Rhinolophus ferrumequinum: one gene and its partner. The protein of the gene in region 2 interacts with the protein of the main gene of each other region in a pairwise test. Links are inferred from orthologs where the notes say so. Each region holds a gene or a part of one and is shown on either strand. Other genes may lie near its edges. The genes, in order: SULT2B1 and FLACC1.

Evidence for each region.
Region 1: the proteins of FLACC1 (region 2) and SULT2B1 interact in binary tests that used the Homo sapiens proteins (3 or more experiments, as listed by UniProt). The two-hybrid records come from large-scale screens. The link is inferred for Rhinolophus ferrumequinum from reciprocal best matches to the Homo sapiens genes FLACC1 and SULT2B1.

Annotation. Positions count from the first base shown.
Region 1 is NC_046298.1:44,070,409-44,077,639, reverse strand, and holds the start of SULT2B1 (sulfotransferase 2B1), read right to left. Parts: upstream 3,079-7,231; 5' UTR 2,947-3,078; coding exon 2,876-2,946; intron 1-2,875. UniProt on the Homo sapiens protein: Sulfotransferase that utilizes 3'-phospho-5'-adenylyl sulfate (PAPS) as sulfonate donor to catalyze the sulfate conjugation. Responsible for the sulfation of cholesterol.
Region 2 is NC_046291.1:30,025,467-30,033,414, reverse strand, and holds the start of FLACC1 (flagellum-associated coiled-coil domain-containing protein 1), read right to left. Parts: upstream 3,206-7,948; 5' UTR 2,691-3,205; intron 1-2,690.

The DNA of each region.
Region 1 (7,231 bases), on a different chromosome or scaffold from region 2:
ATATACAGACATGTATATACATTTATATGTATATGGAACACATATAAAATTTATAAAGCATAATTGATAAACCCCATGCACTAGAACATTCTGTGCAATGTGTCTTGCGGATGTCTCTGGGCTCCTCCTCATCTCCTGGACCTCCTCTCCACAACCACTTTCCCGAATTAAATCCTTGTCAGTTGCTTGTTTTGGGGGGGGACAGTTTTATCACATAGGCTTGTACCCTCAAAACAATATATGGCTTAGCTTTTCTTATTGGGGGAGGATAGTGTCTAAGAATTGCTTCTTACATTTGACCTTAAGAGTCACTCATGTCACTGTTGTGTAATAATGGTCCCCACAGGAATTTTCCACTGCTTATTTGGTGCCCTCAGATCCACACAGCCTCTCATTTCCTCCCAAGAGCCACTGTCCTTTTGCCCCTCCTGTGTGCCCTGCCCTTCCTCACCTGTTTTGTCATCCTGACTAATCTTTCTGCAAGCTCTAGCTCAAAGGTTGCCTTATCTCACTCCCATTCATTCCTTGACATCATTCTCAGAGACATCATTGTCCATCCCCGCCCTGAGCCGAGGACTGCAGAGGTGGTCCCCACGCTGTCCCTATCTGTGAACAGGTCGGCATCTGGGTGTCACGGGACAGGTTTGAAGCTAGAAGTGTGATCACGGTACCTACCTGTGGTGCCCAATAATCTTAAAATGTGTGAGAAGGAGTTTGCCACACAAAGGAGTGAGGTCTTCCCAGGTGAAGGAAACTTCAGGCACAAAAGCCTGAAGGTGTGTGATTCAGGCTGGAAGGGCTGTGGAAGCAGCCAGCTGGGGCCCAGGCAGTGAGGAGGGTGGGAGCAGAGCAGCAAGCCCACAGGAGGAGCAGGGCCAATAGGGGGACCGCAGTCCCTACGCCCCATTTTAAACCAGAACAGCTCCATTTTGATCTCTATGATGTAGTTCTGCTTGGGAGTAAGAATTCTCTTGGACAAAGGTACCAGTGCCTCAGAAAAGGTTTGGAAACCATTGCCGTGGGTGCTGAGGAGCCCTGGAAGGGCCTTGAGCTGGGGATGGCCAGGGGTAGATTTGCATATTAGAAAAGATTTCTCTGGGAATCCCTGCAGAGGGAACTGAATATGCAAAGGCACTGGGGCAGGGAATAGTGAGGTGTGGCCAGGGAATTTGAAGTCATGGGGTAGATGGAATGCAGGCGAGCAGGGAGATTGAGCTGGGAGCCCAGACTGCCAGGGCCTGGAGACACCTTGGGACTGGGAAGAGGGGAGGGGCAGCTCTGGGAAGGACCGGAGGCGGAAAGGTTAGGGCAAGGCTCTAGGGGCAAAGATGAGGCCTGAGCAGGGGCCACGGGAATGGAGATAGTCGGGTCATAGGAGAGTGGGGCTGGGGAGGGACAGGCTGTAGGAGGGAGAGTAAGGAAAGCACAGTGCCTGGGAATCTGACCTGGTGACTGAGATGGCGGCCCAGGAGGAGGAGTCATTCTGGGGGAGCCGCTGAGTTCAGTGAGGATGTGTGTCTGAGGGGCTAGGGAGGGAGCCCCAGAAGGGATGTTAAGGACCCTCATGAGAGGCAGGGATTCCAGGAGCTCATGGAAAAGAAAGTTTAAGGTCCTAAGGCCACCACCCAGCGGGCTGCAACCACTCAGGTCTAGAAGTATCTTATAGGTAAGGGTTATTTACCTCCATTTTTCAGGTGAGGAAACCGAGGCTGAAACCTTCCTAGAGGTGGGGAGCCAAAGAAACTGCAGAACCCAGAGGAGCTGGAGAAGAGAATGCTGGTACCTTCCTCAAGAAGAGCTGGGACCAGCCAGAGTGGTGGCCACTCTGAACCTAAGAGGCCCAGAGACACTGCGAGACTTGTCCATGTCACACAGCAATCAGAATTCAGCTGTTCCAGTCTCTGGAGTCTGGGCCACTAGGGAAGCCTCTCCGTGTCCCAGCTCCTGGGTGAGGAAGCGGAGGGGAGGGTCTGAAACAGTACAGCCTTGCTGTGTGATCTTGGGCAGGCTGCCTGCCCTCTCTGAGCCTCCTCATGCTCGTTTGTAAAATGAAGCCATGAGGAGTGGGTATCACCTATACTGTTGAGGAGATGAGAAACCACAGACTCTGGGAATCAGACAGACTGCGGTCAAATTGGCATCTGACTGCATGATCATGGTCACTTTGCCCCTTGGCCTCAGTTTCCCCATCTGGAAAGTGGGTACTATAGAAGTGTCTGATATCCTCAGGAACAAAGGAGTCACGCTCAAGAGATAGGAAGTGCTCCGTCCTAACCTCTCCTGAGAACCAAGGAGTCGGGGCCCAGTCTCCTGGCCCCCTGCCCCCTGGGGCACAGCCTCCGGCTTTGGAACTCAGCTACATCCTGCACCCCACCCATCTATGCTCTCCCATCCTCCCTCAAATGTTGCTGGTGGCACATTCTGAGCCCCTGTGAGGGAAAGCACCCCCATTTGAGGGCTTTGAGGAGAGGGGCACTGTGCCAGCCAGAAGTCTCAAGGAGGAAAAAAGTACAACATCCTTCTTGTTTCCTGAACAACTACTACACGCCAAGCCTCCTGCTCTCATCCAGTCCTACATCAGGGAGACAAATGATTTATGGGCCCCTTTGATAGACAGAGAAACTGAGGCCCCAAGAGGTACATGGACACCCCAGGCATCCCAGCTAGTGACTCAGGACAGCCCTAGTCACCTACTCCCTTCCAGGAGGGACCTGCACTCCAGGGTGGACGAGCCAGCCCAGCCCAGCCAGCCAAGTCTGGGCTGTGTCTGAGGCTGCAGGAGGCCAGGGGCCAGCTTTGCGGAGGCCCCTGGCTCTTCCCTCAGGCCACCTGCTCTGGGGGAGTCTCGCGGCCGGTGTCCACATCTGGGCCTCACCTGATTTCCGAGATGTTGTTCTCGTAGGTGTCCCACAGGGCCCGGGTCCGGGGCTCAGCGGGCCCGTCCATGGCAGGTGGGTGAGGGTGGGGAGGGGAGGACACGCAGGGAGCAGGCAGCACGGGGACCAGGTATGTGCAGCAGCAGCGTCTGCCACCTGGGGAGCCCGCCAGGAGCCTACCTCCACGCCCAAGGGGAGGGGCAGTACTCAGCCGGTTCTCCCAGCTGCTACCCACGCCTCCAACAGCGGGGAGAGGCCGAGAGGGAGCCACCCTTCTCCAAAGGTGGGGAGGAGGGGTGATGAGCACGACCTGGGCATCTTGTGAATGCGTGGGGCAGAGTCCAGGGGTTCAGCGTCAATCCTGCACTGGAGCCTTCCGGGCTGCTGGCTCTGGGCATGTTCGCGCCCACCTGAGTTTGTTCGTCGGACTAAGAAGCTAATCCTATCTCAGAGAGTTTGTTTGTTCGTTCATTCGTTCATTCATTCATTCATTCATTCACACATTCATTCATTTCTTTATTCATTCAAGAAATATTTATCGAGCGCCTCCTGTCTGCCATGCACTGGTCTAAGTGGGAACCAGACAAACAGAAACTGCCCTCGTGGGCTGACACTGTAAGGGGCACACGTAGAAACACACTGAGAGAGACAGAAACAGCCAGACTGAGACAGTGAGAAACATGGCGAGACCAAGAGAGAACAGAGACACACAGAGACAGAGATATGCGGAGGATCAGAGATAGGGAGACAGAGGCACTTTGACAGGGTCAGAGACAGTGAGAGACACAGAGAGACAGAGACACAAAGACAGAGACATCGAGAAGCCAAGGGAAAAACAGGGAAACACAGGGGGTCAGAGATAGTGAGAGATCCAGAGATACAACAGATACTCGCCAGACATGGTTGGTATGGGAGTTTGAAGGTCACAGCGCCTGGTTTGATCTCTGCTCCAGTACCTTTCAGCTGTGGCTCCTAGAGCCAGTCCCATCAGCCCTCTGTGCCTCGGTTTCCCCACCTGTGAGTGGTATTCATGTCACCGGGCTGCTGTGACGACTGGGTGAGACATTTCTCGAGTGGTAGGCTCAGTAAAGCCAGTGTCCCCTTCAGCTCTATCCCCCCAAACCCTCTGGTGTCCTGACCCTCAGAGATCTGGAGTCTGGCCACAAAACCCAATCTCCTCACCAGAAGTGACTTCTTTTTAAAGGAATGTGTGTACTTTATTCAAAAATATATCTGAACAGATAAGTCTAGAACTAAAATAAGGATCCCTGTGATCCTCCTACCCACGGAGGTAACCACCATCAACATTTTGGTGGACTCTTTCTAAAAATTTCTCATTTTTCTAGTATATTGTGCCAGAGAAAATTTGGTTGGAAGAATAAGTGCAAAAATAGAACACCAGAACACCCCGTAAGAGTGTAGAGGAGGGTGTTGAAGGGACAAGGCGGGCCTGGAGGCTGTGTCTGACTGGGGCGGGACCAGCCAAACACGGGGACCCAGGGACCCAGAAAACGCTCCCATCTCAGGCCTTTGCACCTGCTGTTGCTTGTCCGATGTGCTTTTCCCCAGGCACCTGGGGGCTTCACTGCCTCCCTTCATCCAAGCCTGCCCTGTCACCCCTCCTCTGAGTCCTCCCACCAACGTCTCCGTCCCCCTCTCCTGTTGTCCTTTTGTCCATAACACTCATCACCATCCAACACTCTACATATTTTCCTTCTTGGTCTTGTCGACCGTTTGTCTCCTCGTCAGATTGTCAGCCCCATGAAGACGGGCCTTATGATGTTTGTCCCCTGTTGGCTCCTGAGGGCTGTGCCCGGAGGAGTCCCCAGAAAGCAGGACATGTTCAATGAATGCTGCCGGTGGAATGAACGAATCGTCACAGGGTGATGGGGAATGAGTGGCTGGGTCACTGCAGTGCGTGGAGGACTCAGTTAAATCTCTTCAGAAAATGGAGGTCCGGGATGGGGAGATGCAAGGCCTGGTTGCAGAGGGCAAGGGGCCCAGAAGACACCAGAGTAGCATCTTATCCAATGACAGAGAGGAGAGATAGTGATGGGGACCACTGATTCCACAGAAATAAACCCGGGGACTTAGGCATATGGGAAACAGGGAAGAGACTTGGAGGGGGATGGGAAGAAGAAAGTGGGAAACAGTGCCAGCTGGTGGGAGTAGTGGGAGGAGCAGCGATTATACATCCATCCCTCTATCATCCGTCATCCATCCATCCATCCGTCATGCATCCATCCATCATCCATCCACACATCCTTCCATCTATTCATCATCTCTCCCTCCCTTCCTTCCTTCCTTCCTCCCTCCCTCACTCCCTCCCTTCAATCTTTCTTTCCTTCTATCCATCCCTCCCTCTGACTATTATCTGAGAAGACTTCCTCTGGGTCAGGATCTACTGTGTCCCCAAATGAGATGGGTAAGTAAACACAGTTTAGAACTGTGCTGTCCGATACAGGAGCCGCTGGCTACACCTGGCTATTTAGCATTAGAAATGTGGTGCATGTGATCGAGGCAGTGAACGTTTCCAATTTTATTTCACTTTTTTAATTTCAATTTAACTTTAAAATCAGAAACAGTATAAAACACTTTACTCTTTTTTTAAAGAATTTTTATTTTATTGTATTGGGGAATATTGGGAACAGTGTGTTTCTCCAGGGCCCATCAGCTCCAAGTCATCCTTCAATCTAGCCATGGAGGGCGTAGCTCAGCTCTAAGTCCAGTCGCTGTTTTCAATCTTTAGTTGCAGAGGGTGCAACCCATTATCCCATGCGGGAATTGAACTGGCAACCGGGCTCGCACTCCAGCTGCCCGTCTGGAAGCTCAGCTACAGCTCATTGTCTTCAATCTAGTTGTGGAGGGTGCAGCTCACTGGCCCATGTAGGAATCGAACTGGCAGCCCTGTTGTTCAGGGCTCGAGCTCTAACCCACTGAGCCATCCGGCCAGCCCGTAAAATGCTTTACTCTTAATGCATGTTAATGGTTTGGTAAGACTTCATTTCAATTTAACTCTTGGGACCCGAGTGTCAGAATTGAGATAAAACATGTAAAGTATCTCACGAGTAAGTTTTATATTGATTACATATTGAAATTATGATATTTGGACATATTGGATTAAATAAAACATATTCCTAAAATTAGTGTCACCTGTTTCTCTTTACTTTTTTAAAAAAATGTGCTACTGGAAAGTTTAAGATGACACACGTGGCTAAGTATTGGTTGATTTGACCTTGCTAGACTGGGTCTGCTTGGTGTCCTGCCTGTAGACATGGGGCCTCCTTGGGAGGTCACAGCAGGGATGCCCCAGAAGGGGAAACTCACCAGGTGAAGGACCTAAGTGGAGAAAGCCTCTGGGAAGGCCTGGTGTAGGCAAAGGCCTAGAGGCTGGAGAGACAGAAAGGCAGTATTTCCTCCAGGCCAAAGGGGGCGCATCTGGAGATAGGGGGCTATTTTTGGGCCCTGGGGTGGGGGCTCACATCCACCCTTGGGGGCTTAAGGGTAGCAGGGTACAGTGCCAGGTAAGGATGGGGGCTGGGCTGCCCTGTGCCCCAGGAAGCCCCCAGGAAGATGAACACATCGCCTGTATGTGCTACTAACCATGAGGGGGTCCCACTTGCACCTCAAACTTCAGGGGCTGAATGTGAAAGGGGAGCAGGAATTGGTCTCCCTGGCCAGGCTGAGTGCAGAGAGCAGAGATGGAGAACTCTCAAGCATACCCCTCTGCCCTGGGCCCCTCATATCAATTCTTTGGCCTCTCTCCAGCACCCCCCAACCGGGCTCCAGGGAACCCCAGGTATGCTATTTTGCTCTTGGAGATCAGATATGGGCAATGGGAGGTCACTGGGTCACAAGGTCATGTTTCCACAGAATCGGGGCCATTGTCACCTCTAGAGCCCGACCTTTCCGTTAAAAGCTAATAATTGCCAGGAATTCTGGGATTGCTGAGGACGGGCCAGCTCTGGCTGCTTAGAGGCTGGGTTCCCGAGAGGGCAGAGGCTGGGGGCAGGGCTCCTAAATCCTGGAGTCTGGAACGAAGAATCTGAATGGAGTGGAAAGGGACCCAGAGTGCTCCTCTGAGAGAGGACAGGCCTAGGGCCTGGACTCCTGGGTCTGAGGGAGGAGGGGCTGGGGGCCTGGACTCCTGGGTCTGAGGGAGGAGGGGCCGGGGACCTGGATTCCTGGATCTGAGAGAGGAGGCAGCTGGGGGCTCAGACTCCTGGGTCCTGGGGGAGGTGGGGGGAGGAGCCAGGATTCCTGTGACCCAGACAAAGACGAAACTGGGACACCTAGATACCCGGACCTGGGGAAAGGGTGGGTCATGGGTGGGTGACGCCAGTGTCCCCAAGGCT
Region 2 (7,948 bases):
AAACAAACCCTTTTTCTATACCATGACTAAAGCTTGAGAAACCCAGTTTAGGAGGTCTAAGGACAGGGCCTCCATATCTAGCTGTTTGTGTTCTCCCGTGTTTGGGGACCTGGTCAGGATATCTCAGGGAGATGAGTTCAGGGAAGCAGATCGGGTGGAACATCCTAGGTGAGAAGACAATGCCACAGGGGCTAGAATTCAGGTGAGAATCTGAAAGGAGACGGCAGCAATAGCAAGATAGTTTTGCTTCTGCTTAGGATCTTGTATCAGCTTCCAGTGAAGACAGGGTCCAATCCAGAACTCAGGGGAGTTAGCAGGAGGCCCTGAGGCAGGAAGTGATCAGCTAGGGCAGGCCAGCTCCCAGAAACTGCCTTCCCTCTTACATTTCTTGCCTGCCCATCCGGACTGTGCCATTCCTGAAGGCCTGGACTTCACCATGTCATTCTCTGTGCCCTCCACCCCCTGCCAGAACCTGGCAAGGCAACTTGTTTACAATGAGTATTTGATAAATATTTGTTGCCTGACTAATAAAGTGGGTGGCTGTAACCACAGGAACCAGTTCAACAAGGAGAAAAGAGATCCACAGATGAAATTGCAAAAATGTAACGGTCACTACAATATCATAGATAATATTAAAAGTTAGAATTAAAAAACCAAAATTCATAGGTAAATTATGGCACAACCACTCGATGGAGTTTTACATAGATTTTTAACTGCCCACTTTAAAACCTGTAGAAACATGAAGAAATGTTTATAAAAAAAGATATAAAATGGTATGTATGCAATGGATACAATTATGTAGAAATATGTACCTATACAGAAAAGGATTAGAAAAGAATATATTAAAAAATGAAAAGTGGGCCAGAATGTCAATATTATTTTTTTTTTCCTGTACAATATTCTTTACTAAAATTTCCCTTGGGCTTTTGGGTCAGATGGGCATGACTGCATAGAGGCTCCTCTGCTTACCAGCTGTGTGACCTCAACAAATTTACTGTTACTTTCCTGAGTCTCAGTTTCCTCATCTGGAAAATGGGAACATGAGAGTTTACCCCTCATTGGGCTAAACTCATTTCATGCACATGAAACGAGACCATGTCAGGAAAGCTCTTGGCATACTGTCTTGCACACATTAGGTTCTCAAAAACTGGTAACTGAGTTAGGAATATTATGAACCCCAATGGTATTTTGTTTACAGAAGCTTTTATTTCTAAGTTTTTGGGGAGAATAGGTTTATTCATGTGTGTGTGTTAAATTGAAATAGGATCATTGTAAAGAAAATTATAGCACAGAAAAACCTAAGGAAGTAAAAATTATCCAAAATACTAAACATCTAGAAATGACCACTGAAAATATTTTGGTTAATGTCTTCTAGAATTCTCTCTAAAGAAACAGTTTTATATAACTGTCCATAAACAGAAACAAACTCTACTTATATTGTAGATAATCTTTTTTCAATAATGTCCTGAGCTTCTTTTAATGTCAGTAACTATACATATAATCATCAGTTTTTAAACTTAAGTTTACTGTGGAGAAAATTTTTAAATGTACAAAAGCAGAGAAAAGAGTATAATGAGCTCACCCACCATCTAGCTTCAACAGGTAGCAATTTGTGGCTAATCTCATTCATCTATACCCAGCCCACTCCTCCAACATCAGATTATTTTAAAGTAAATTTAAAGCAAATGTGTAACTTAAGTTATACTTAAAGCAAATCTTTAAAGCAAGTCTGAGATTTGCTCCTATATCATCATAGCTATAAATTTCTATTCAATGAATGTACCTGTTTACAATTTTAATCAGTTTTGTATTGATGAACATTTTGTTTTTTCCTTTCTTTCTGTTATAAACAATGCTGTGGCATATATTCTTTTGCTCTTAAAAAGTGAAGGCCTCTTCTTCCAAACCCCCATGGAGGTGATACTCAAAATATTTAATAACCAGTAAGACAATCAGAATATATATGGGCTACAAGGCTGGATCAGGGGAACTGGAGGACCCCACTCCTACCCTCATGCCAGCATTAACCCCTGAGTTGCTGAATCATGAGGAAGTCTGGGGGTACCAGAGGAGGAGGTGAGGGGCTTGGACAATGTATACTTGTATACACACAACCAGTATGGTACTATTTCAATATTTCAATAATTGTGCATAATACTAACTAAACATCAGCCCTCAATTTCCAGTACTCTCCCAAGAGGAAACCACTGTTAAGTTGTTTGGGATATCCTTCCAGAAGTGTTCTCTCTATATATATACATGAAGATTTTATATACATCTTGTATGTATATACAAGATATATACATACATGAGAGCATACTTTACACACCATGCCATGCCTTGCTCTTTTTACATAACAGGATATTTAGTAGGTATTTCTACATCAGCATAGACACATCTACTGCATTCACAGTGGCTTGATGTTGCATTGCATGACTCTAAGCATACAGAAGTGTGTGTGTGTGTGTGTATGTACGTGCACGCGTGTGCACATGCGTGTGTGATTTAGGATTCTTTCTCCCCATTCTTTGCCGTTCCTGCATCGCTCCCTAATGACTTTGCCCGAGGCTCAGTGGACTGAATGTGCCACCTTGTGACACCAGGCAGCGGAGCCTTCAGAAAGGTCACTGGTTAGTATTAATAATCAAAAGAAAAAAAATTATATAGAACATCTTTTCCAAAGAGCTTACCTTGGACTGTCCAAAGATTTGTTTCTCCCATGTGGTTCTTTCCCAAGTCGAGAGTCTTAAAGACACCACAATGTTATAGAGAAACTGTTTCCCATCGAGACAGAATCAGAATTCATTGTAGGTTAAATCCAGAGGTTCCAGAACTCAAGAGTTTAGTGGTCATTCCAATGCCAAAGCAGAAAAATGCAGAGTATGTGTAGTGCAGAGAGACAGACTTCCAGTGAATCCAGGCACTGGCGTTTACAAAGGTTGAACTGGCACGAGCGCAAATGTCCCTTCTAAAGACGATTCAGTCTGAGTCTTCCGAAATTGCAATGAAAGTCAAACTAGGGGAGAAAGTCACCCCTCCATTCAGATTCCCTTGACTTGGGCCTTGAGTTGTCCTTGAGGTTTGGCCAGAGGAGGTGGCAGGCCGACGTTTGTTTCTTTTATTGCTATGGAAACAGAATGGCAGCACCTGACTTGCTCAGGCACTCTGCTCTTAAAGAAAAAAGGCTGGAGCAGCAGCCAGTTAAGAAATTCTCCAAGACATGAGACAAAATACACTGATGAATACTTTCAGAGGAAATTAAACAGCACTCTTAGGCTTAACTGGCCCATGGCAGCAGTTACCAGACAGGATCTGTGATGGATTTAAGCTCCTCTGACGTTTGCTCACAGACACCTAAAACTCTAAAGTAGCCACTTTCTTCCTTGAATTTCAAGCTTCGAAATCTGTAGAAGTACAAATCCCCCAGGGCAGGAGTCTTTTTCAGGTGCCAGGAAATCAGATTTTTTCCCCCCCAAGTAAAGCTACTTTTTCTCATTAAAGAAAAAAATGCCTGCTTATTATAGACCAGCGGCTTTCCTTTTATTTTATTGCAACTCACTATAAGAAGTATATTTTACACATTTTGAAATAAAAAGTTGTATGAAATAATACCCTTATTACTAATTCTCATCTGATTCTTTTTCTTCCACCTAAAATGAAAGCTGATTATAAATCCACTAGATTGATTTCATTATCCACTGATGGTTCACAACCCATAGTTTACAAACCATTGTTATAAATGTATGCATTCATTCTACTCCACATTTATTATCGACTGTGTGCCAGGCACTTTTGTGAGGCACCTCAATTCCTGTGGTCCATAGAGGGGAGACAATAAATTCAGTAAAAGCACAATGAAACTTAGCGGATGCCGTGTGAGTGTACAGCAGGGAGTCTCTTCTAGTCTGATGAGTCAGACAACAGCTTTAATCAGAGAAGGAACCTGACTAGCTCTGCATGCTAGAGAAATCATTTTGACTGCAATGTAGAGAAACACTGGAGGGGCCGAGACAAGAGGCAGGGAAACCAGTTAGGAGTCTACGGCAGGGGTCAAAGGAGACACAATTGTGGCCTCAACTGAGGGAACAGCAGTGGGATGGAGAGCAGAGGATGCAACAGGACTTGACTGATTGGATCCCAGGTTGAGGGAAAGGAGGCAATGATGAGTCCTGGGTTTCTAGCTCAAGCATTTGAGTAGATGGCGGTGCCATTTATTGAGATGGGAAAGTCTGCGGGATAAAAAGGCCCAGGGGAGCAGATTCTGACTTCAGGCTTGGATATGTTGAGTTTGAGATGCCAGGGAGACATTGAAATGTGATGTCTATTACAGAGTTTATTACATGTTTTGGGAATTCAAAGGAGTCTGGGCTGAAAACACTTTAGGAGTCTCCGAGTAGATAATATTTAAAGCTAAGGGATGAGCTCACACCGGGAAAGAGTGTTATGTAAGAAGAGGTGTCTACAACAGAGCCCGGAGAAGCCCAATATTTACGACAGTATTTCTCAATGTGTAAGTTAAAATATGTACAACTATCACTTGAATGAAAGTCCTTAAACCAAAGAGGTTCCTTAATTTCATGAAATATAAAACATGGAGGTGGTGCTACCAGTTAATGCAGTTTCAGCAATGTCATTGGAGAGCTGGGTTCTTTAAGTGATTCTGTCATGCCAGCCTGTGTGTCGCCTGAGGGGAGCCTAGTGGTTGCACTATGGCTGCCACAACCACAAGTACCATTAGCACGCTAGATGGAGACAGACTTCAAAAGCTAAAAGGGAGGGAAAAAAGGTTTAAAGAGAACAATGGATAGATTTGAGTAGTCATCCACTAGCGATTGGATATTTTCTCTGAATCTGTTTATTGTGTGAAATTTTATATTAAAATGCTTCCTTATGATTTAAAAAGAGCAGGATTTGGGTCTTGTGTGTAGAGTGGTTAAAACCAAAGATACAAAGGAAGGAGCCAGTTGACTTGGCCAAGGTTTAACACGAATTACCACTACTTTGGGATGTTTTTCTTCCTTTCCTCTGTCTAAACATTAGTACAACTTTGTCAGCTCCAAAATGGTGGAGGGGAAGGAAATGAAGGCTTCTGGGACTAAGAGTTAACTGCTCTTCTCTTTGGTTGAATTTAGGGGAACTTGGGCATTGCATGAAAGGCTCTTTCCAAAGACCCAGGAAAGGGACTGATGCTACCAATATTAGTGATTTTGCCGAGAAGGCAAGAAAAATACATTTAATGAAATAATCCTTTGATTTTTATATATTGGCTCTTCTGTATTTTTCCCTAACATCTCACATCACCTTCGGTGTGCTTTCCTCATACTTTCTCACACTGAAGAACAAAACACTTCATGCTATTGTTGGCAACACTGCCTGCCAGGCCAAGTTATATTTCAACATCTTTGTCAAACCTGCACGGCAACATTTGTTCATTTGAAAATTTTATGGCCCTTATTTGGCCTTTATTTCAAAAACAAAAACAAAAAAACACTAATGAAAATCAAAGCTTGATACTAGTATAACTCAAACTTAATAAAAACAGAGATGGAAATTAATAGGATGCTGAAAGCATCAAATCTTTCCTCTCGTCTGGTTTTTGGACTTAAACACATCTACTGTAATGGTTTGTGAAAGAAACAATTCAAAATGCTGGAAATACCATTAAATTTCATATCAAACAAGTACATACTCACACTTCACCTATTCCTCACAAAATATTTATAATTCTAAATGGATATTAGATGAATTTAAAAAACACAGCAACTAAACTGTGATGAAGATGAGAATATCAAATAACTTTCTCTACCAGAGTCCAACAATTTTTAAATTTAGTTTCTTGGAAACAGTTTCTAAATAGCTAACAATATCAACAGTATATTGTGGACTGTAAGAATGAAGAATTGCTTCACATTTCCTAAATACTTTCAAATTAAACATCTGCATATCAGTGACTTCAGATTTTACTTTTTGTTGCTGTTACTTTGCTAAGGAAGAAATACGGCATATATAGATACTCTGTCTATTCTGTGTTTTAAACAAATATCTAAGAAATACAATAAGATCTACTACGTACCACTACTGCTGGGTTTGTTTTGGGTTGGTTTGACAAATATAGGTTGTTTTCTGTACCCAAGACGACAAAATAAAATGGAAAGACTTAATGCAGGACTATTTATGAAAAGAACTGGGACAAATACACAGGAAGACAAATGAAAATTTAAGAAGATACTCATATTTATTATCTGATTTACATTTGACAAAGCAAAGGTAGGTGCAACAAAGAGCTGTTTGACAAAATCAACCGCAGATATCAAACAGGATTTCCTTGGCTGCCCCACAGGGTAGCTGTGCTCTGCAACGCAAGCGCTCAGTTGTAGACACAGTCTGTGGCACTTGGAGTACAAGCCTGCAGGCATCTGACATCAAAGGAGCAGACCATTAGACACTCAGAGCTCTAGTTCCAGATGTCAAAACTCAATGTTAGTAACCAACAAGTAGTACAAATTATGTACTAGAATGGTCAGAAAAAGTAACAGGTTTTGAATACTGTATAAAATACACCCTGGAAAATGCTCTTGGGAGCTGTCTCTAACTTATTTCCTTTCTTTGCCAAAGTCTGTTCATTCATGTCAAACAAAGGACATAGAGTACAAATCCTTTTTTAAAAACTACTTTAACAATCGTTATTAACTTCTCCCTAAGACACATGCCTAAGGTTATTTACATAAGATTTGGGATCATCATAATTCAGGAGTACCTTTAATTCTGAGCTTACAAAGGTATCCTTCCTATTATATAATAGGATACTCAGAAATACCTGAGGTATAATCACTGAAAACTTTGAAGGAGAAAAAGATTGGAGTTTCCTATACTCGCATAAAAATACGTATACAGTTGATATAGAAAAACTACAATGTGAATAGTGTTAAAGCATAACAGGTAAAAGGAGGAGGAACTTACTACAAGGCTCCAGTTCTTCTGACTATAGTTTGCACACAAGTTTGTTATAATAAAGATTCTCAGGCTGTATCAAAAATGATTTTAGGTGGAAACTTCAAAAACCAGCAAAACCCAATTCAAAACAGGATTCATTTCTAGAGAAAAGCGTGCACCAGTATCCAATTCTGCTTCCGGTGGAACAGCAACATAAATCTAATTTTCAAAAACCTAAGTCTGCTTCTCTTTAATCAGATGGGTTTATTTGGCTATGAATACGCCCTGGCCAGGCCTCTAAAGTGGTCATTTTAGCATCGTTACAGAAAAGTATGCTAATTAGACAGAGTACTAGCTTAATTTAAATAACAGATATAAATCTGACAATTTAACACTTTGTACTCCTCTCTAGCCCTGTATTTTCCTACTTCCTGATGTCTCTTAGAAACTGGCAACAGGAAGATTACTTTCTTAAGAGAATAAATAAAAAGCTTTAAGATATCGGCCAAAATAAGCACCCCAGAATTACTTTATGAAGTAGAAACTCAAACACTATTTAAAAAAGAAGCGAATTGGGATATTTTGGAAACAATATAACATCAGGAATTCTCCGGCCAATGCCTACCACATTCAGGGACATTTACATTCAGCGGGAATCCTTTTTGAACACGTATGTGTAAGGTCTGCTGTACTCGGCATGACGGAGAGAAGGGGAGCGAGGGGAAGGATACTTTCACTTTCTGTTTTTAAGAAACTGACTTTAAAAAGTTTTATTAAAAGACTCAAAAAGCATGGAAAACTCACACATTCTTCCCACAGCATGCATGTTGTTTTTCTGCCCTTTTGAGCACATAGTTCTTGAAAGGCACCTCAGGAGGAGAGAAGAATAAGTGCATCGGTGGGAACCATAGGAGCAAGACTCTTTAAGAATTCTTCAGAAAATTCCTTTCAGTTAAGTCAGTACAAAGGAGCAAAAGATGTGCAAATTAAGCACCAAAAAGTCAAGTAATATGCC